Regions from separate parts of the Mus musculus genome. Here regions 2, 3, 4, 5, 6 and 7 are each reported to be linked to region 1. The links are microRNA targets in miRTarBase. Many come from high-throughput screens and were not tested one by one. Region 1 holds a microRNA gene; each other region holds the end of a gene's coding sequence. Distances are between the middles of the regions.

Region 1 (3,081 bases):
ATCCCAGGCCTTAAACTTACTCTTGTTTAAAGATTTATTTGTTTTTATTTTATGTGTATCAGCCATGTGCCTGCACATGTATCTGTGCACCATGTTGGGACAGTGCCTGGGTTTGGGAGGAGGTCAGGTCCCATAAGGTTAGAGTTACAGATAGTGTGAACCATCCTGGTCATCTGGAAGAGCAGCCCGTGCTCTTAACTGATGAGCCATCTTTCCAACCCAAGAGGAGGCACCGTTTGAGGCTGGTTGTAAGAGAGGACAGACTGAAAAGGGTGACCAAGTAGTTGGGATTGTGTAGCCCTCTATTTCCATTTACTTTTTTGGTGAAGCAAGATCTGGAAATGCAGGTGTCCTGGAACTCATTACGGAGAATAGGGGCTGGCCTGAGACACCTCTACCTCTGCCTCCTGAGTGCTGGGATTAAAGGAGTGTGCCACCACTCTCTTAATCCCATTTAATCTTTCCATTTTCTTTAGGCAATTCTTTCTTCTAGGTTACTATAGAACACAGGGTGGGCCGGTTTTTGTGAAAGCCGGGTTCCACAAGGGCGAGTGGAAATGTCTCTACGAGTGGTTAGCCCTCACTCTGGGTCATCGACCCTGTCCCGAAACACAGATCGGGCACCAGACAAAGGTCGCTACTGCCTCCCGCTAACCCGGTGGCTCCTCTGCCCCATCTTGGGCCTCCTGGGCAAACTGGTCCAAGCTGACCGCCTTCCAGCCACAATTGCTCGGCTGAGGCCCGGAAGTCCTGTAATGTCTGTGCCCTCAAACACCGCTCATTCTAGCTGGACACTTGGCTGCCAATGCCTTGCGGGCTTTTCTGGAAGGTGGGGGTGGGGAATCTGCCCCAGGGTTTTGAGTGGCGGCAGCGCCGCTGCAAACCAGACAGAGCTGAGCAGCCCCGGGTAGCAGCAGCACCCAGTGCGGCGGCCCCGGGCGACCCTCGGGCTGGACTCGAGCTGTGTTGCCTCAGCGATCAGTGTGCAGAGAAGGCCCGGAGATCACGGGATAGGGGGCGGGGGGAAGGAGAGTGGTGTCGCTGGCCGCAGGCTGGCACTTGCTGACCTAGACTAGTGAGGTCAGCGAAAGACGACCGGGGAAACACTCTGTAAGGAGGCCGTGGTTCAGCGATCAGCGCGGCGCTCCGCTAGAGGTCAGGTCTCCGGAAAGTGATGAAAAAAAAAAAAAAAAAAAAAAAAGACCCCAGAATGCCAGCGTGGTACCAGAGGGAAAGGGCGACACATACCCCCTGGGTAGTGAGTTCAGGGAAGCCCTTTCCGAAGAAGCCACCCCTTCAGTCAACCCGTGTGTTCAGGTGGCGGGAATCCGGAGAGCAGTGGAGGCGCCCTGGCCCATAGGGCGGGTCCAGGGCCACTCGAATCCAGCTGGCAGGTGACGGGGGCGGTGCCCAGTCCTGCCCCCAGGGGATGTTCCTGGAGGCCAGAGGCGGGTCAAAGAAGAGTGCTGGCGACGCCTATGAACCTCGGGCGGCGGCTGTAACTACAGGTACTGCACAGGGCACCGTGTCCTACCTATTTGGGCATCTCAATTCGGCTCTGAGAACTAAAATTTTCAAAGGGCGCCTAACTCCAAACATCCATGTCCTCGGGTGTCCGAGAGTGGAGTCCTGGGGTCGCCTGAAGGCTACGTGTTCCGGGAGCCGCAGAGCCAGGGCACCGAGGGCTGCTGGGGGAGGCAGTGAGGTCCTGGAAACCTCTGGAGAGGAGCACTTGCAGACTCTGGAGCCAGAGAGCCAGGTCCCGCAGGTGCCAGTTGAGCACCGGACCGAGCGCCCGGGCGGTCCACAGCTGGGCCGCCTGGCACTAGTATAACGGAGGTACTGGGGCAGTTGTGCCCCTGTCTCGGCTCAGAGGCCTCCAGGTGTGTTTTCTACCGAAGCCCGCGGCATCCAAACCGGCGCCGGCGGAATTGCAGATGGAGACGCCCATCCAGCGCGAAATCCGCCGCAGCTGCGAGCGGGAGGAAAGCCTGCGCCGGAGCCGGGGTCTGAGTCCCGGTCGCGCGGGCGAGGAACTCATTGAGTTGCGCGTGCGGCCGGTGCTCAGTCGGCCCGGCTCCGGTACTCCGCTGCCGCGCGCCCTGGAGCGCGCTCGGGCGGGCGCGAAGATGCAACGGGACATCGAACGCGAGGCTCACAGGCAGGCGGCGCTGGCGAGCCCCGCGGTTCCGGAGCCTAGCGCCCGGCGGCGGCCGCAGCCGCTGGACGAACTCAAGCGCTTCTTTGAGGCTGCGGCGGAGGACGGCGCTGGCTTGCAGAGGCAGCCAGAGACCGGAGGCCGGCTGCACCCCGCCGTTCAGGACGGCTGTCCGGTACTGGGGCAGTTGCCACCGCTCGTTGCCCCGTCACTGCTGGAGCAGGAGGTGCGACGAGTGCGCGAGCGCGAGCGGGAGCTGCAGTTGCAGCGGCGCAGCATCTACGGCGACGCCGAGGTCCAGGAGCCAGCGCCGAGCCTCACCCGTAAGCGGTCCCCCTGGGCCCTAGAGCTCCAGCTGTCTCCACCTCCAGTGATCATTCATCTGTAGGCTTGCAGACCCTTAACTATTCTCCTGGGGGTTCACCTTCTTTTCTTCACTCCCACTCCTGGAGTGAGGATCCCCACATCCATCAGACCTTGGAACCTTGACTTCTGGCGTTCTCGGGTCCTCTGTAGTACTCGGGTGCCTCTCTACATTGAGTTTGCCTCATTCCTGTTCCTGGGTCCTCAGAACTGGGTGGAGGCCTTCATGGGGAAGAGGGGTGCACACCTGTATGTATATAAGGGGTGCGGCCATCCTCCAGCTGGCAAGAGGAGGGGCAGTCGCGGCTGAGTGTTCCTTCCCCCACAGCGAGCAGGGGAGATGGAAAATTGTCGGTGATCTGGCCTCCGCGGAGACGGGCCTCTGAGAAGGTGGGAGACTCCCTTTCCGATGCTTGTCGGTCTCCCAGCCCTCCCTGCAGCACCTGGGCACTGGGGTGGAGGGAGAAGGTGCCTCTTGGTCCCCTGGAGCGCCACTCTAACCCAAACTCAAAAGTCCTAGACGCGATCCAGAGAGTGAAGAGGAGGTGGAGGCCTAGAGG
Region 2 (3,081 bases), not on the chromosome of region 1:
TGCTATCTCATTCACCAGATTTTAACATCCAGAAAATAGCAATCTACAATTAAATAGCAGGTATGGCAATGGAAGGGAAGCATGGTTTTTGTTTTAGAAAATCACATTTTCATGCACTTCACTTCTGGATTAAATTTATTATGTACACAAAAATGTATTAAATGTTTATCTAATCTTAAGTTGTTTATTCCTTTAATTTTATATGAACAAAGTATTGAAAATAAACCTTAAGGCTTCATATGGAAAGAAATTAAGGTCCTGGACTATTTACTAGAAACCCAATTTTTGCCAGGATGTTAAAAACAGAAAAGCCAGGAAAAAAAATGATTCCTACAAATAAATATAATTTTAGTGGACTAGACCCCCTTCTCCATGACTTTTTCTTCCAGCTTCCAATATCTTTTAAGTATTAAGAAAGGAAATATAATGCGGGTGGTGGTGGTGGTGCACGGCTTTAATCCCAGCCCCTGGGTGGCAGAGGCAGGCAGATTTCTGAGTTCGAGGCCAACCTGGTCTACAGAGTGAGTTCCAGGACAGCCAGGGCTACACAGAGAAACCCTATCTCAGGAAAAAAAAAAAAAAAAGAAAGGAAATATATTATCTTATTATATTATTAGGTAGTATTTGTGGTCCAAATGGAACCTGGTTTTAAAACATTTATCAAAGCCAAGGCAGACTGTAATCCTTCAAGCTTTCCCTCTTGTCAAATATCCCATTAAAACCCAGTATGTCGATTTGGAGGAGGGTACTTCACAGAACAGAGATGCAAGTCGTCCCTTTCCCACCACTCTGAACTTGGATTTACTATTGCTTAAACACTCCATGCATCAAGGAAGGATTACAAGGGAAGGAAGGAAGGAAATATACTGGCAGAAGAGAAGGTGCAGCTCAGCTCTATTAGGAAGATGAAAAGTACCACAGAACCATGACACTTTTGAGTAAGGATGTATCAGAAGGGCAGAAACATGGAAGGGCAGTAAGGTCTCCAGTTCTGTGATGGCCTCAGCCTTGAACTGACAGTTAACTAAGTTAGAAAGATGAAACAAAAACATTCATAAAGAATGGATTGTCACAATAAAATCTTTCTTTGTGCAAGGTTTGTAGCAGCCTTGTGCAGTACAGGAAGGCAGATTCTGAACCTCCACTAACAATGACCCTCCTGTTGGCAGCTAATGCAAAGAAAACGTTATCTAAGCAGCCAGAGAAATACACTACATACCCCTTTTTAAAATGATGAAACATTTTGAGTTTCACAAACCTGTACTCATTATTCTGACTCAACCCAAGGGGGAATAAGATTGAATTTAGTCATCCTTCATATAGCTAGAATCTAATTTTATGGATTTATTCTCAGACTTGAGAGGGTAAGAGAGGAGATAGAGATTTTTTTTTATTTAATAAGGAATCTGGGTTCCTTGATACTGATATTGGATTGAGCAGGGAGAGATTTATAATCACACAATTCTCCAGAGGATCAAGGGAGATAGAAACAAATAAAATCTTTTACCTACTGAAATTGACTTTCATCAATTTGTTTTTTCACCAAAAGCACATCACTAAAAGCAAAGCCGACATGCCTTTTCAGTTGTTATTAAAGTGGTTCCAGAGAGGTTTCTTGAGATGGAAACTAACCACCACAGACCTGAAGTCAGCTTTATAAAAATACCTTACAGTGACAAGGCTTAGAGCACTCTGGGTTCAGAAAAACAAAGGATGTGGCTGGAGAAACTCTTGAAGAAGTTATCCTGTAACTATAGGACCCAAAAAAGATGTTGCTTGTACCTGTCCTATGAAACTGCCACTGCCTTTTGAATTTTCAGAGAGTACAGCATATGTCTTTGAGACACTTGGCAGTCTTAGCCTCCTCAACTGTGGTTCCCTCAAGTTTTACATCCAGTAAGGGTAATCCATGCAGATCACTGCTGCCGGCTCTTCTCACTACAGAGCAGCTGTGAACCATGGGAGTCTGCAAGTGCAAGGTGGAAAAGTCATAGAGATGAAAGGTAAGAAACAAAAGACGAGAGACCAAAAGAGCTCAGATGACTCCCTAGCTCCATGCTGAAGTTCTATCTATACCCCGGTCTCCACAATTTCTAGCCTCAAGAGAGTGCTGGGGAGCTGTGGTACCTGATGTTTCTGACCTGACTAAAACACATGCTTAACAACGACGGCAAAGACTTCCTGCACTTTAAGGATGCTCTGGTTTTGCTGTCACTTTATCAAGCAGCAGCCTCACTTCTAAAGGTGCTAATGAGAACTGCAGAGAAGTCCTCTGATTTACTCTTTGGCTCCCAAGCACATCAACTTGTTCTCTTCAAGACCCCACAAAGGTACTAACACTATGATGGCTAAGTGCTACACCTCTCTTACGACACTGAGGCTTACTACCATGTAACCACGGGGCCAGAGATCATCTTCTAAAAGTGAACACTGCTCATTCAGAAAAACAAAACAAACAACTAAGGATTTGGCTTAAACTGCAGACCAGAGGGAAACAGACTTCTTTTTTGGCCTGTATTTTTAGAAATGTCATAATGTAACCTAAGATCCCTTGTTGGCATTCTGACTCTTGCGCTGCCTCAGGGCGTCTTCCACCACGTCCTGAGTGTCAGCTGGGTGAGCTCCGTCCTCCTTTGGGGACACACTACCCTCCTTCACAACTGCTCGCTCGTTGGTGTCACTTCTCTCCTCAGCCATGATGCCTGCCAAGTTGTCCTCTTCCTCATCTTCTTCTCCTTCATCCTCATCTCCAATGTCCTCTTTCTCTTCCTCATCATCCACAAGACTGTCTTTGTTTTCTTCTTCATTTGAGTCATCCTTTTCTTCCTCTGCATCCTGTAGCTGCTCAGCTCCTTGAGCCTCTCCAGTACTCTGCTCCTGCTCTATGGAAGGAAAAGAAAAAACAAAAAAACAAAAAACCTCTGGATAATAAATGGCAACTTTGTAATTAACTCACTGATTAACCAGGAGATGAACAAATGGGGAATTTAAAAAAAAATTTTTTTTATTTTTTATTTTTATTTTTTTGGTCTTTTTGAGACAGGGTTTCTCTGTGTAGCCCTGGCTGTCTTGGAACTCACT
Region 3 (3,081 bases), not on the chromosome of region 1:
TTATTTACAGATAATCAAAGCTTATGTTCCAGGCCAGCCAGATACCAAGTGATTTATTGTAGAAGAATTGGGCAAGATCTTTTTGTTGATCATCTAATAAGACAGTAAGATTTCAGGACACAATTCTTGTGTTTAGACAGAGAAAATAAGATATTATAATGATCCTGTAAATGGGTGTTTAGTTACGGGATACTGTGGGAGACTTGCTTTAAATGCTGAATTGAACTTGATAGACAAGGACCTTGGATAGAATTCGGTAGGCAGGGGAGCACATTTTAAAAAAATAATAATAACAAAGGCTTTTGTTCTATCTTCCTTTTGCCACCAAATTTTCAAACAGATACTAAAAAGTTGGTTAACTTGATGAGGTCAGCAGAGCCAAGAATCAGCGATGTCACCAACAGCATGGAGCACGCCATTGTCTCCCGGAGCCCCCGAATCCGCTACAACCCTGGCCTGGACGTCAAGTTTCTCTATCTCACCCTGGCTAAGCTGCCCACCCCTGTGACAGATTTCATCCTTAGCAGATACTTGCCAAGACCAGCAGACAGTGTTTGAGCTGGCGAGCTCAAGGGGTAGCCAGTGGAGCACAGGGGAGAGGGCAAAGGACTGGGGGATCACAAGAGGTGTTGTCATATATCTTGTGGGCAGAGAAGAGCATACTCAGCTCACTCCCACTGCAGGCTGATGTCTCCTTCCATCTGCTGGGGCCTCTAGAAACCTGATGTGACCCCGGCTGATGTAGATAGAGCGTTGCAGCATAGGCCGCAAGACACCCCTCACCAAGGCAGGTACTAGTGCTCCTGGACCTGAAAAGCCGGCTTCTGTTGACTGACAAGCTGTCACCACCTCCGTAAAACACCATGGGACAATCTAGCCCACAGGAGAATCTCGGTCCCCTCCCCACAGCTCTCAAAGCAGGCACTGGTTTGTGTATATATGGAATATGTAACATGGCAACAAGAACTGCCAGAGCATACTCAGAGAAGGTTTTAAATAGTTTTCTTTTCTTTGCATTTCTCTATCTGATTGGGATCCATATAATGCTTGCTTCTCTAATCACCATTGATTCCTGTTTCAAGTATTTATTGAGCACTTACTACGTACCAGCACCAAAACTCTGGGGGTATGTGAGGGTGATGAAATCATGAACTTGTCTTGTTTTGTTTTGTTTTGTTTGTCTCACGTTTTACTTTGTTACAGTAGCTAGCAGCAGAGATAGGACAGTGACCAAGGGGACAAAGATCAGAAAAAGGAAATTTGAAGGACCCTGGATCTCAATAGTCCTAGACTCGGATGTTTACTGGGATCACTCAGTTACTTAAAATGCGTACGGAAGCTGGAGAGATGGCTCGGAGGTTAAGAGCATTTGTGCCTCGCAGAATCTGGAATAGATCCCCAGTCTCCACACCGTGTCTCACAGCCTCCATAATTCCAGTTCCAGGGGATCGGATGCCCCCTTCTGACCTCCACAGGTACCAAGCATGAATGTAATGTGTATTGATACATGCAGGCAAAAACACGCATACACATAAAATAAGATAAATCTTTAAAAAGTGAATGTGTAAGGAAGCTGGGCATGGTATCTCATGTTTGTAATCCCAACATTTATGGGGCTAAGACAGGAGGATTTTTGTGAGTCTAAGGAAAGACTAGATTACAAAATGAGACACTGTCTCAAGAAACAAACCCCAGGAAACAAACAAAAGAACTCATAGGAACCCCAATGTTAGAAAATCCGATTCAATAAACCTGAGTGAGGCAGAGCCCAGAACTATGAATTGTGTACTAAGGACCTAAATGTACCTGCGCACCTGGGAGGCAGTGATAGTCCCACAGGAGAAGCAGCCAATCAGCTCAGAGTGGGAAGTCATTTTCGCCAAGGCACCCAGCTAAGTGGTCAAACAAACAGAACCCTTTTCCAGCAGCAGGTGATGAACTGTTTGTAACATCTTCAAATAAGTCATAGAACTAAATAATTCATGTCTTTAAAAATAGCTACCAACTTCTGAGTTATATGAACTATTAATGAAAAAGGATACTTTTTTGATCAAGTTCATATACTGAATATCAAACCCAGAGCCTGAGCATCATAGACAAGCACTCACCACTGACCTACATTCCCACCCTCAGATTTTCAATTAGCTTACTCAGAAGCTCAGGCTGGCCTTGAACTTGCTATAACTTTCAATATTCCCTCAAACTCATAATTCTCCTGCCTCTACTCCCAGAGTGCTATGACTACAGGCATGTGCCATCAGTCCCAACAATAACAGTGATAAAATAAATAAATAGAATTGTTTAAAATTCTGCAGTTTGTGCAATAAAGGTCAAATATTATTATTTAAAAATCAAAATGTTTTTAGTTTATGTTTCATCTACTTCTGGCTGAGGTTGAAGATAGTCGTTTCTACAAACTCTTTGCAAATAAGGCAACTGTCACAGTTTCTAGGAATTAACATGAAGATATACCTGGGCCAGGAAGGAAACACTATATAATCCACTACAGTCTGTTAACTTCTATTCCTAGCAGCAAATTCAGGCATGGGTAATGGTGCATACCTTTAATCGCAGCTCCGAGAAGGTAGAGGCAAGAAGATCCAGAGTTCTAAGTTACCCTGTGTTACATGTGTTTGAGGACAGCTTGGATCACATGAGACCCTGTACAAACAAATGACACAAAATTGCATCCGTCTAAGGAAACTGTTAGACAATATTCTGAGATCTTCATGTATGCTCTCCCAGGCTTCTTTCCATTCCTCTACTCAAGTAGGTAGCTAAAGTGAGACTTTACTTAGGGTGAGATGCTTGACAGAACACAGATTTCCTTCCTCAGTTTTTATTTTCTCCAGCTCTGAGGTTGTTAGAGAAATTATAGACTTTGGGGAATGAAGTACAAATAATGTTACTTCTGGACATGTCCTGATCTCCATGAAGCTGTCCTTCCTCCAAAGACATGGCTGGTAAGACAAGAGGGTTAAGGCTTCTGGGGAAGTTTCTGGAAGCACTTTGGGAAGTGGCGAGCCTAGAGAGAACCACTGCTTGCTGAGCGCTTGTGTTCAGGTATATGACAGCCTGGGT
Region 4 (3,081 bases), not on the chromosome of region 1:
AGGGTGAAAAACTTTAAATCTGTAAAGTCTCTGCAGAGGTATATGCCACTGGAGGATGCTTTCATAAATGATCAGCAGTTAACCCGACATAAACAAACCAGGAGGTAGAGGGGCGGATTAGAGTTAGCCTCTGTTGACAGAGTGCTTGCTCAGCATGCTGCTTAAGATGCTCAAAGCCTTGGGTCATGAAGTCTAAGCACCATGTAAACCAGGCATGGTGGTGCAAGCCTATAATACCAACACAGGGCGGCAGAGACAGAGGACCACAAGTTACAGATCATCTTGGTGTGTAAGTTCAAAGCTAGCCTGGACTACAAAACCCTATTTTATTATTGTTTTCTTAAATGTATTTTAAGGTCATCCTCAGCTATATAGTGAATTTGAGATCAGTCCTGGCTGTAGAGACCAACCTAAACAAAACAAGAAATGTGATTACTGTCTCTTCAATCCTGGATAATCTTGTTTTTATGTTAATGCCCCAATATATGAAAAACAATCTTTTTTTAGATGGGGGTCTCGTTACACAGCTCTAGCTAAGCTGGAACTCACTATGTAGACCAGGCTGACCCTGAGGTAGTCCTCCTACCTCTGTAACACACATGCTGGGACTATACGTATGCAGCACAACTCCCATTAGAGTCTGATTTTACCGTCTAGGTGAGATCTAGGTGTGACCGTTTTTCTAAAGCTCCTGAAGTGATCCTGGCATGTGACTAAGATTGAGATTATCTATGACACTATATTCTGCAGGGGGCAAACAGATTTAGCCTATAGTTAACTTTTTTATTTATCAAGTTTTGACTGAAATCCCCAAATTTTAAGTTGGTTATGCATCAGAAAAGAATCAAATGGAATGAATAAGCATTTTATATGAGTTTTAAGCAAATTAATTAAAAGCATTATATAACTACTTAAAACTGAAGCTGGAGAACCCAGAGATGGTTCAGTGGTCAACAGCACTGGCTACCTTGGTTCTGTTCCCAGCACCCCCATGGCCGCTCACAAACACCTGTAATTTCAGCTCCAAGAGATCTAATGCTCTCTTCTGCCCTCCTTGGGCACTGCCCACATGCCTGCACAGACATACTTGCAGCCAAAACAGCAATACATATAAAATAAATAAAACCTAAAAAAACAAAGCAAAACAAAACCTTAACAAACCTGAAGCTAGTACTACTAATAAAAGTTCACTGTTGTGACTGTCTTCCTAACCACTGGGCAATGCTGTAATGACAAGATTTGAGAATAAAGTCATTTTATTTAAACTACAAACTTAAGTTTCTGTTTCAAATTATTTATTTTATATATCATGGTTGCACAACTTGAGGCTGGTTAAATACAATTGTTTTTCAAAATCTCCTTGAATATTTCCTAGATTATACATGCAAGTGACCATGAAAATATTTGGCATTTTGAAACTTTGAGACTCTGAACAGGCACTTACATGAAGGAGAACATGGCCGTCCTTAGAAACCCACATTGACAATAGCTGCTCCAGGACGTGGTATGTGAACCTTTGGCCAGGGCTGGTTGCTGGCCATTTTATCAAAGTGCCATCATAGTAAAAAATAGGTTTAAGGAAACATAAGTTGGGCTGTTGAGCTTCCTAGAAAGTAAAGTTAACTGACAAACCTGTACTGAGGTGTATCAAGGAACACTGGTACAGAAACCAACAAGCCCTGAGTGAGAGTGGCCCCCACACAGGCTTCCTCCTGCCCCATACGCCTCAGTTGTGTGTCTGTGCTCAGCTGACTGCAGCCTTCTTTTCAGAGAATGGTATGAATTTAGTGTTTTTTGTTCTGTTTGGTTCGGGTTTTTTTAAATAGACTACGTGAAGTCAAGTTTGAACTAGCCAATATTCCAGTTAACAAGAAATTGTCCGGCTATGGACACTTCGGCTGGTTCTCCCAAGCTCTCTCATTCCTAGGTGACGATTTGCATACACATGGAAAGTAGTCCTTAAATTAAAAAATATATACATGTTTCAAAGTCTTTATGGAAAAAAAATGATACAGGTTTAACAAGTTCTAAAATGCCAATGTGTCAACTCCACACTGCAGAACCTACATGATGATACAGAAAGTCATAGCAAACGTGGTCAATAAGGGGCAAGAGGGCCACGATGACAAACCATGTCATCCCTGGGGTGACAATCTTTCATATACCTCAGAGATCCCAAAGATTAAAATTCAGGAGGCTGTGAATGGTAGACCCAGAAGTGCCTACCATGTAACACCAGGTTGGTTTCTGATCCACATGTAAAAATAAACACAATTCTCAAAAATACTGAGGAGCCATGCCTTAAAACTTTGTAGGACATAAGGGCTGCTCAGGTTTTTCTCATTTTACTTGAACAAAAATATTTAATTTTTTGCACATAGAGAATAAGAGGTAATCATTAGCATGAAAACAGAGAAAAGGATTTTCAACATTATGCATAAAGAAAGCAAAATTACAAATACCAGTCTACTCACATGAAAATCCTTAATGTTTATGCTTCTGAGTGCTTATCAGTGTGCAGTAAAAAAGAAAACAAAAAAGGCAGCTTAGGAATTCTCCAGTGTTTCCAAGAAGCACTTTTTAAAATGTATATACACAAAACCTTTAATCATACTGTAAAATAAACGCAGCACTCTAGGATAAGGAAGACTAGCAGACGTGGAGTTGGGATGTCCGCACGCTGCGACTGTCGTCAGCCAGCTGAGCTGCTCTCTTGGCCCGGTTCTTGCACTTGCTGCTCTGCCCACCTGCTTACATCTCAGGCTGCTCCGCAGAGGCCTGCGAGTCTGGAGATTCAAACCGCTGGTGAAAGTTCGTCCTCTGTTTTCTCAGTTTCTCGGGTGCTTTTCTCCACAGGATGATCTCCTAGAGGAAATGCAAAACCGAAATGGAGTTCTCTGCTATGTCTTAGATGGTCACCATGGAAATACTGGCTGCAACTTCAATTTTAAGCTGTAAAACAATCCCAAATGCTCTGTACGAAAGCCCCCAACTTTCCTGGGTGACCCTTCCCCTCTCTCCGTACTCACAGTCAACCACCACAAATCCTAGCTGTATTGCTTTAGAAAATCCCCCAATCTG
Region 5 (3,081 bases), not on the chromosome of region 1:
CAATTGCAGGCCTGTCATCCTGGACCCAGCTGACCCGACAGGCAACCTGGGCCACAACGCTCGCTGGGATCTGCTTGCCAAGGAGGCTACCGTGTACGCATCTGCCCTGTGCTGCGTGGACAGGGATGGCAATCCCATCAAGCCATGGCCGGTAAAGGTGAGGGACATGTGAGGCAGACAGAAGTATCACAGACATAGGCATGGGCAGACATGGTCCTCCCTGAGGGGCAAGACTCAGTCATGGCCCCTGTAGTCCCTGTGCCTCCACTTCCTGTGTGGTGAGTGGCCTCAGCTCTGCGGAAAGACTTAGGTAACCAGCCTGTCTTCCTTCCCACAGGCCGCTGTGTGAAGTCTAGAGAGATCAGTGGTCACCATTGATAGAAAGTGACACCAGCCCTCAGCAAGTGATACTCAGAGTATCTGAGTGTGTGTGTGTGTGTGTTGTATTTATCTGTATGTGTGTATTTGTGGTATGTCTGTGTGCCTATATGAGGGTGTGTCTATGTGCGTGTCTGTGTATCTGTGGGTATCTATATGTGTCTGTATATATGTATGTGTGTGTGTGTGTGTGTGTGTATTCATGTATGTGTGTCTGTTTGTGTATAGTGTGTCTATAGGTGACTCTGTGTGTCTGTGTATCTGTGAGTATCTATATGTGTCTGTCTGTATGTAAATGTGTGTATGTATGTGTGTTCATATGTCTGTGTGTGTGTCTATATCTGTGTATCTTTGGGTATCTATATGTGTCTATCTATATGTAAATGTATGTATGTACTTATGTTCATGTGTATCTGTGTGAATGTCTGTGTGTTTATGTGTAGTGTATCTGTAAGTGTATCTGTATGTCTATAGATGTATTATGTCTTTGTGTGTCGACATGTCTGTGTGTATGTATGTTTGTATGTGTATGTTATATATGTATATATGCATGTATGTGCTTCCTCACACCATCTCCCTTCTGCCCACCTGCCCACCCATAGCCCTCCCTTTCTTCCCACTGTTTACCCACCTGGTGGGGCTTCATTGACCTCAACCATGATCATCCCGGTGTCCCTGACTCCCACACTAGACACCCTAGGAACCAGACATCTCTAGATCTTCTAGTCTGCTGTTCATCTACCATGGGCTCTGCCCCAACTTCCACAGCCCCACCCAGGAGTGCCTCAGCCCTGCCAAGAAGCCATACTCCTCCCTGGCATCTCTCTGCCCCTTGAGCCTGTGTATATCCCTCTGCCTACAGAGACCCACCAGCTGAGGTCCAACTATGTTCCTGTACTGGCTGGTTTTGTGTGTCAACTTGACATAGGCTGGAGTTATCAGAGAAAGGAGCTTCAGTTGGGGAAATGCCTCCATGAGATCCAGCTGTGGGGCATTTTCTCAGTTGGTGATCAAAGAGGAGGGCCCATTGTGGGTGGTGCCATCCCTGGGCTGGTAGTCTTGAGTTCTATAAGAGATCAAGCTGAGCAAGCCAGGGGAAGCAAGCCAATAAGAAACATCCCTCCATGGCCTCTGCATCAGCTCCTGCTTCCTGACCTGTTTGAGTTCCAGTTCTGACTTCCTTTAGTGATGAACAGCAATGTGGAAGTGTAAGCTGAATAAACCCTTTCCTCCCCAACTTGCTTCTTGGTTGTGATGTTTGTGGGGGAATAGAAACCCTGACTAAGACAGTTCCCCAAGTAATGTGACCATGACCTTCATAGGGCTGAAGTTGTGATGACTACAAAGTACCTGGCCCACAGCCACCGCAATGAAATGAGAAAAACACGTGATAACTGGGCCTTAGGGGTGAAGATGCCGGAAGGGTCCCCAGGCCTTGCCTGTGGCTCTACCCACTCCCTCAGGAGGAAGCCCAGGAATGCAGCTTTCTTGAGTTATTGTTGGTGAAAGTTGAGGCTTTGGGACAATGCAATACTTAGATCACCTACACCCCTGTAAACCCCCACCTATGCTTTACTAGTAACCCCAATAAACCTATCGGCTCATCCACTTACACCCAGGTGGAATCTTCCTTGCTCAGTCATTGTGCCCTGTCTGAGATGAACAGACATTTGTTCATGTCTCCCCAGGAAACGTCATGCTACACCATGATGGCTGTCATCCCCGAATGCAATGCAAAACAGGGGGTCCCCTGGAGGACAAGAAGGGTTTGCAAACCCTTGATTCATAAGTCTGTTTTCCAACAAGAATCTTCCCTTTTTGCCACACTATGGGTAGACTTTGGATAGTGTTTGTCGCTCATTCCCTGATCCCCACCAGGACCAGAGTGATGCCAAGATATCTCCAGGACAAATGTCTACTTGCCTGTCTTACATGGGAGAAAGCCTACAATCCCCTAGTGTCTAAGTGGCAGCCAGGAGCCAGAGGGTAGAGGACAGGGAGACATATCCTATGAATGTCCCAATCTGGAGACATGGAAAGCAAGTGGCAGATGCTGGTGACAGTGTAGCCACAGCAGGATCCTCCAGAGGAACCACCGGAGGGATGGATGTGGTCATGATCCATCCCCAGGAGAGGAACAGGAATCAGAAAAAGGAGTCTGTGCAAACCCATCTCAGACAGCTGGGCTCTGCCTGGACCACTGCTGGGGACAGACCAACAGGGATGTAGGATGGTGGGGAGAGCAGAGCCTTCCTAGTGTCTTCATTCTTGCAATCCATTCCTGCCTTCTCAGCTTAGCCTGAGAGGACAAGGGTTCCCCAGGTCCCCTCTCTGCCACCACCTGTGCCTCCTGCTCTTGGCTACTACACCAAGACTCCACTAGGGTTGTTCCCAACCTCACCTTGCCTAATCAACTCAGTGAGGATGCGAACCAGACCCCATATTATGTCTCCTGATAGCTGCTATTCTCAGAGTTCTAGACCAGTGGTCCTCAACCTTCCTAACGCTGCCAACCTTTAGTACAGTTCCACGTACTCCCACGTAGGTGTATCTACAGGTACCTGCCTGGAGACAGAAGAGAGGTATCTCAGTTATGGTCTTAACAGATGGAAAAATGTGTTTTCAGATCATCTTAGGCGACCCCTGTAAAGGGGTTGTTTGATCCTGGAGGGGCGGAGACCCACAGATTGAAATTGCTGCTCT
Region 6 (3,081 bases), 21 Mb from region 1:
TCCGGTGCCGCCCACACCTACGGACCCCTTTGACTTCGGCGGGTATCTGCGCGCCAAGGACCAACGGCGCTTCCCGCTGCTCATTAACCAGCGTCGCAAATGCCGCAGCGACGGCGCATCCGGCGGTTCGCCGGACCTGCTCATCGCTGTCAAGTCTGTGGCTGCGGACTTTGAGCGGCGGGAAGCCGTTCGCCAGACTTGGGGAGCCGAGGGTCGCGTGCAGGGGGCACTCGTGCGCCGAGTGTTCTTGTTGGGCGTGCCCAAGGGGGCGGGCTCTGGCGGGGCAGGCACCCGTTCGCACTGGCGCACCCTGCTGGAGGCGGAGAGCCGAGCTTATGCAGACATTCTGCTCTGGGCTTTCGAAGACACCTTTTTCAATCTAACGCTGAAGGAGATTCACTTTCTATCTTGGGCCTCAGCATTCTGTCCAGATGTACACTTTGTTTTTAAGGGCGATGCAGATGTGTTCGTGCACGTGAGGAACCTGCTGCAGTTTCTGGAGCTCCGGGATCCCGCACAGGACCTTCTTGCGGGTGATGTGATTGTGCAGGCAAGGCCAATCCGAGCTAGAGCCAGCAAGTACTTCATTCCCCGGGCTGTGTATGGACTGCCCGTTTACCCTGCCTACGCAGGTGGCGGCGGCTTTGTTCTTTCGGGAGCCACGCTCCGCCGCCTAGCTGATGCTTGCTCACAAGTTGAGCTCTTTCCCATAGACGATGTCTTTCTAGGCATGTGTTTGCAGCGCTTGCGGCTCACACCAGAGCCTCATCCAGCGTTTCGCACCTTTGGCATCTCCCAGCCTTCAGCTGCACCTCATCTTCGAACCTTTGACCCCTGTTTCTACCGAGAACTGGTGGTAGTACATGGGCTGTCTGCAGCTGACATCTGGCTTATGTGGCGCTTGTTGCATGGGCCTCAGGGCCCAGTCTGTGCACATCCGCAGCCTGTGGCAACAGGTCCCTTCCAATGGAATTCTTAGTTATCTCTCACGGTATCAAACTTCTCTTACTCAGCTGCAGGACAGAACATGAAAGAACCCAAAGGGGTTTTCCATGTGGGTTTATGGTGTACATGACTTTTCTCCAGATCACTCACTGAGAGAGCTAGGGCTGGGATGAAACAAACACAAGTGGATATACCCATAGCCAGGCCTCAGCCCTCGTGGACCTGGCAGGCATTTTCGTATAGTTACTAGCTTCCTTCCTTCTCTCATTGGATTCCCAGTGGCCATATCTTATCTGTTCCCTTTGAGGTCTGGTGTTAGAGCTAACTAAGCCCTTCAGGTCGAGGTTTGCCTGTAGCATGTGGGGCGGGGCCATCATGTGTCACCGTCTTGCCCACTATACACACACACACAAAACCATGCCAGTGTACTTCTGAAGGGTGACCCATCCCCCTCCCGGAAGGAGTCCTAAGATTCCTCCACTATAAGATTGCTCATATTCTTCAACTCCAGCTTCAAGGAAATCAACAGCTCACATTTTAGTACAAACAGCCCAGTGGCAGCACATGGCACGCTGTCACTGTGGGCATAGGTGCTTTATTGGAAGGGGGACGAGGAAGTCTCCTCTGATCACGAGGATGGGAAGAGTCCTGGCTACCCTGACAGTGGGATGTGCAGGGTCTCTGGCCAGACGAAGGTCCAAATGGGAAGACACCTGTCAAATCAGTCATGGGAGTGCCACACAGGCCTGGCTGTAGGCCCAGGAACCATACAGACAGCTGGGGCAGGTCCCCTGCACATTCATCATGAACTATACAAGATGAGGCTGTACATGAGTTAATTACAAAAGTCATTATTTACAAAAATCTGTACACACATTTGAAAAACTCACAAAATTGTCATCTATGTATCACAAGTTGCTAGACCAAAATATTAAAAATGGGATAAAATTATATGTTTCTCTTCTCAATTCTTTTCAAAAGGATTACTATTTTAAAGCACATATATGCTACTTCCCATTAGCAAGACCCATGTAAGAAACCAAGCAGCCTAGTGTTCCTTGAGCCTCTAGGCCTCAAACCAAGTAGCCAGGCCAGGCCAGGCCAGTGCCCAGAACTAGGGCAAGGAGCTGGCCCACAGTGCATAACAGAATGCTGTAATGTAACAAAAGGAGGAAGGTGTCTTTGGCTAACACTTTGGCATTAAATAAAAGAGGCAAACAAGATGGAGACATGCAGCCCTGTCAGCCAGGTTGGACCAAGAGACACAGGTGACCTTAAAGGCTGGCTCCCAGAGCAGCAGTGGGAACCAGGCCTGGTACATACCTGGTAGGAAACGATTTCATCCACTTAGGTGCCACCTGGGCACGGCAAGGAGCACTCACAGGAGAAGCAGGGAAGGGCAGTGGGCCACACCAGCCACAGCCAGCTCATCAAGTCACTAAAGTGGATGGAGTGCAAATATTGCAACCAAGTACTACCGACATGCTACCTGCTCTGCTCACCTTAGGGGCCACGTGGCAATGTCGGGCCAAAAGCAGGAGCCTGTTCTCATCCTGGGAATATTTTCTTAGCTAGAGAAAGAGTCCTGTCTTCCCTATGTGAGCAGGGCAGGGGCTGACGTGTCCTTTATTACATGTTAGTTATGAGAGCCCTCATCATGGCTCTAAGTTTGTGCTTCTTTTTGCACACTGTGTTCTCTCCTGGCAACAGCAGGCTTAGGACAGAGTATCTGGGTCCTCCGTCCCACGGCAGAGGACTCAGCCCAAATCCTACTTCCAAACCCTTCTGAGTCCCAGGGCCCTTCAACACTGCCAAGGTGTCCAAGCAAACACACAGGGTGGCACAGAGACCCACTGAGCTGGATGTGACGCACAGTTCCATGGACAGGGAAAACAGTGATGTCCTTAGGGCAGCTCTGCTGTTCTCAGGTGGGCACCAGGCCTGGGGGGGCCATACAGGGTCACTGAGGCAATGTGGTTGTTCTGCATGACCTGGTGTAAGAAGAGAACAGCAGATCACGAGGGAAGGACTGGGTGGGCTAGAGGGTGCACACACAGCGCACTTCACACAGGCCCGGGCCCTGCATTTCCTCAATCACCAACCTCCTGTCAGTGGGGCTTACTTCTGCTCAAGGCC
Region 7 (3,081 bases), 12 Mb from region 1:
ACTGGAGTTACAGATGGTTACTAGCCACTGTGTGGATGCTGAGAACTGAAACTCTACCCTTTGCAAGAGCAGAAATGCTGGTGCTCTTATCCACTGAGCCATCTTCTCAATGTGTATATATCTGAACAAATCAGGCACAATAACACAGGCCTGCCGTCACTGTCATCAATTCAGAGGGTGAGGCAATGGGAATGTGGACACTTGGAAGAAAGTAGGGACTACAAGACACTGTCTTTAGAAGTAAACAGAGGGGCTGGAGAGATGACTCGGTGGTCTGTTCCCAGAATCCTTATCAGGTGGTTTGCAACTGCTTGCAACTCCAGGGCCAGGGGATTCCACACCCTCTTCCTGCTTCTGGCCTCACCCTCACTCAGATATGCATATGCTGCTGAAAATATAATCAAAATAAAAATTAGGCTGGGTGGTGGTGATGCACCTCTTTAATCCCAGCACTTGGGAGGCAGAGGCAGGTGGATTTCTGAGTTCGAGGCCAACCTGGTCTACAGAGTGAGTTCCAGAACAGCCAGGGCTACACAGAGAAACCCTGTCTCGAAAAAACAAACGAACAAACAAACAAACAAAACAAAAAACAACAAAAAAGATCACTTTTAACAAATTGGAATGAAACTTACAATAGAGTATCCAGTTTTTACTCGCTGTTTTGTGTTTGTTTTTAAAGCACATTTACAGAGCAACCCTGCCTATATCTATCTAGTTTGGAAGCATTCTATCTCTTTAAGAGAGTCCCTCCTATCAATCATGCTCCACTGTCCTCAAGGCCCTGGCAGCTCCATTTGTGGCTGTCCCTGTTGGGGACACTTCCTGCCAAGTGAAGTGTTTTGTGTCTGGCTGCTGCCACTCAATCTCTGGTATGGTAGCCTGTGTCAGTGCTTCATTCCTGTTCGTGGCTGAGCAATAGTCCACTCTGGACATCCCACAGGTGTTGATCCATTGATCTATTGATGGACATTTGGGATGTGTCTACCTTTCAACCAGGGTCAGCTACAAAGCCAGGAACACACATAAGCAAGCCTGGGAGCCCAGCCGCCAGCAGTGAGGTTCTGAGTCACAACGCCGGTTCCCAGGCCAACTCCATCTCACGGTTGTGGATTACAAAGCAGATTCCCATGCAACTGTACACATTTTATTTCCTAAAAGGGGTGAGTGAGGATTTCTATTTCCTTTAATTAACATTTTAAATTTTCTCTTGGGCAGTGGTAGTACATGCCTTAAGTCCTAGCACTCGGGAGGCAAAGGCAGGAGGATCTCTGAGTTCGAGCCTACAGGGCAACACAGAGAAACCCTGTCTTGAAAAAGCAAAATAATAATTTTAAATTCTCCATTAATTACTCTTTGAGGGGACATGAGTGCAAGTCAAGGGACAACTTGTTTGAGTAGCGCTATGTGGGTTCCCCGGGATCGAATACAGGTTGTCAGGCTTATTCAGTCTTGAACCTGTTTCCCCCACTACTCCCTTGGGAGCGGAGGCAGATGAGAGGTTGGCAGGGTCCGATTCCCCTGGTTCACAGCTTTCTTACTCCCTCTAGTCAGATTCTTGATCCCAGAAAGTCAGGTTTGCAAGCTTCCGTGGACTTGCTTGGTGCAGGAGGGTTTTAAACTCACGCACTATCCCGATTCGGTCGCCAGGGGACGCCGTAGGCAAAAGCAAAAACATCGCACACACTTAGCCTTTGAGAGAAACAAGGGTCCTGTCCGGAAGTCTCAGAGGCTTAGATCGAGGTCTCACCTAGCCGCAGCCGGCCTAGTGCTCTCTCTATGTAGCGAAAAATGGCCTTGACCTTCTGCACACACACACTTTCTTCCTTCCTTTCTTCCTTTCTTTTTTCTTTTTTCTTTTTTGTAGGTGGCGGTAGTGCATGCCTTTAATCCCAGCACTTGGAAGACAGAGGCAGGAGGATCTGAGTTCGAGGCCAGCCTGGTTTACAGCACGAATTCGAGGACAGCCAGGGCTATACAGAGACCCTGTCTCAATACAAAACAAAACAAAATCCCAACTATTTTTGCTAGATATACTCATTTGTCACTGTGTGGGCATGCACTTACAATCGTGTGTGTAAAGAACTGACTTGCGGAAGTCAGTCTTTCTTCCACTCAGTGGGTTCCAGGAATTGAACTTGGGTTGTCAGTCTTGACAACATGAGCCTATCTGCACAGAGTCAGCTTGCTGGCCCTCTCTTGCAACCAGAGCGCTGAATGACATGGGTGCATCACAGAGTGCGCCTGGCAGGAGTGCTTTTTTGCTTCTTTTGTTTTGTTTTGGATGGGAGTTTTGAGTTTGGGGTTCTATGGATTTTTAGTGCATGATTAAGACCTGGGAATCTTGCTCAGGGTATCTGTTCGTGGGAGTCTATGTTCTTTCAAAGACTAGAGGAGATCTGGGAAAGAAACCTCTTGTCTCTTTTTGGCTGGCATTCCAGCTACTCTTCCACTGAGGCATGAGAATGGTGAGTTCAAGGCCACCCTGGGCTGCTGTTTAGGGAACATACTGAACTTAGAAGAGGACAAGGATAATCTGAGCCTTGCCCCTACACCGAGTTCCTCTGGAGGTACCACTGCACCCGGGTACCTTGCGGGGAGGGGGTCATCAGACCTCTGTCCCTGCACCCGGGTACTTTGGGGGTCACCAGAGCTCCGTCCCCACTCCTACCCTGGGAGTCACCAGAGCTCCGCCCTTGTACCCGCGTCCCCCTGGGGGTCACCAGAGTCGCGGCCGTTTCGGCCCCGCTCCCGGCCGACATCCCGGTCTACTCGGTACTTGCGACGGCGCAGAGGCTCGGTGATGCTGCGCCGCGCAGGCTCATCCAAATCCTCCGGTTGCAGGAAGCTGCGGTCCAGGAGCTCTGCGGCCTCCTGCCAGTTGGCAAAGCAGGCGGGTCCCAGACGCTGGATCTCCTCCGTGGCGTCGCTTGTCAGCACGTCCCCACCAGGCTTAAGTACCACAACCGCTGGCAGTTGACGGACAGAGAACTGGCGCCCGAGGTCCCTGCGGAGAGAGCGCTGTCAGCCTCCCTCCACTCCAGGTGCGCGCGCTGCCTCCGATGGCCGACAGGAGTCGCCCGA

What was found. The annotated mature microRNA mmu-miR-1199-5p reads UCUGAGUCCCGGUCGCGCGG and lies in region 1 at 2,009-2,028, shown strand. An mRNA with a match to its seed (bases 2 to 7 or 8) in the 3' UTR can be bound and repressed. Matches are read on the target gene's strand: a 7mer-m8 pairs with bases 2 to 8, a 7mer-A1 pairs with bases 2 to 7 and ends in A, and an 8mer does both.
Region 2: the mRNA of Tmx4 is a reported target of mmu-miR-1199-5p. Seed matches in the 3' UTR shown: 7mer-A1 at 492-498.
Region 3: the mRNA of Sdr9c7 is a reported target of mmu-miR-1199-5p. Seed matches in the 3' UTR shown: 7mer-A1 at 979-985 and 7mer-A1 at 2,149-2,155.
Region 4: the mRNA of Vps26a is a reported target of mmu-miR-1199-5p. Seed matches in the 3' UTR shown: 7mer-A1 at 2,499-2,505.
Region 5: the mRNA of Oas3 is a reported target of mmu-miR-1199-5p. Seed matches in the 3' UTR shown: 7mer-A1 at 410-416.
Region 6: miRTarBase lists D230025D16Rik as a target of mmu-miR-1199-5p. Seed matches in the 3' UTR shown: 8mer at 2,730-2,737.
Region 7: miRTarBase lists Nxnl1 as a target of mmu-miR-1199-5p. Seed matches in the 3' UTR shown: 7mer-A1 at 1,919-1,925, 7mer-A1 at 1,268-1,274 and 8mer at 1,061-1,068.

The regions. Positions count from the first base shown.
Region 1 is chr8:84,010,541-84,013,621 of GRCm38, reverse strand. Mir1199 (microRNA 1199) reads left to right here and starts at 1,989; the gene lies at 1,989-2,107. Misp3 (MISP family member 3) reads left to right here and starts at 1,902. Exons shown (of 3, transcript NM_001291292.1): 1 at 1,902-2,481; 2 at 2,850-2,911. The coding sequence starts at 1,938.
Region 2 is chr2:134,595,984-134,599,064 of GRCm38, forward strand. Tmx4 (thioredoxin-related transmembrane protein 4) reads right to left here. Exons shown (of 8, transcript NM_029148.1): 8 at 1-2,882. The coding sequence ends at 2,542. Among named protein-coding and RNA genes, the nearest start is that of Hao1, 43 kb to the left of the region's middle.
Region 3 is chr10:127,909,405-127,912,485 of GRCm38, forward strand. Sdr9c7 (4short chain dehydrogenase/reductase family 9C, member 7) reads left to right here. Exons shown (of 4, transcript NM_027301.3): 4 at 341-2,357. The coding sequence ends at 558. Among named protein-coding and RNA genes, the nearest start is that of Sdr9c7, 12 kb to the left of the region's middle.
Region 4 is chr10:62,453,994-62,457,074 of GRCm38, forward strand. It overlaps Vps26a (VPS26 retromer complex component A), which reads right to left. Exons shown (of 9, transcript NM_133672.3): 9 at 850-2,865. The coding sequence ends at 2,752. Among named protein-coding and RNA genes, the nearest start is that of Supv3l1, 5.8 kb to the left of the region's middle.
Region 5 is chr5:120,751,632-120,754,712 of GRCm38, reverse strand. Oas3 (2'-5' oligoadenylate synthetase 3) reads left to right here. Exons shown (of 16, transcript NM_145226.2): 15 at 10-157; 16 at 338-1,615. The coding sequence ends at 349. Among named protein-coding and RNA genes, the nearest start is that of Oas2, 3.3 kb to the right of the region's middle.
Region 6 is chr8:105,251,453-105,254,533 of GRCm38, reverse strand. It overlaps D230025D16Rik (RIKEN cDNA D230025D16 gene), which reads right to left. Exons shown (of 16, transcript NM_145604.3): 16 at 1,481-2,936. The coding sequence ends at 2,850. It overlaps B3gnt9 (UDP-GlcNAc:betaGal beta-1,3-N-acetylglucosaminyltransferase 9), which reads left to right. Exons shown (of 2, transcript NM_178879.4): 2 at 1-1,896. The coding sequence ends at 979. Among named protein-coding and RNA genes, the nearest start is that of B3gnt9, 2.2 kb to the left of the region's middle.
Region 7 is chr8:71,559,933-71,563,013 of GRCm38, forward strand. It overlaps Nxnl1 (nucleoredoxin-like 1), which reads right to left. Exons shown (of 2, transcript NM_145598.2): 2 at 623-3,004. The coding sequence ends at 2,677. Among named protein-coding and RNA genes, the nearest start is that of Tmem221, 2.6 kb to the left of the region's middle.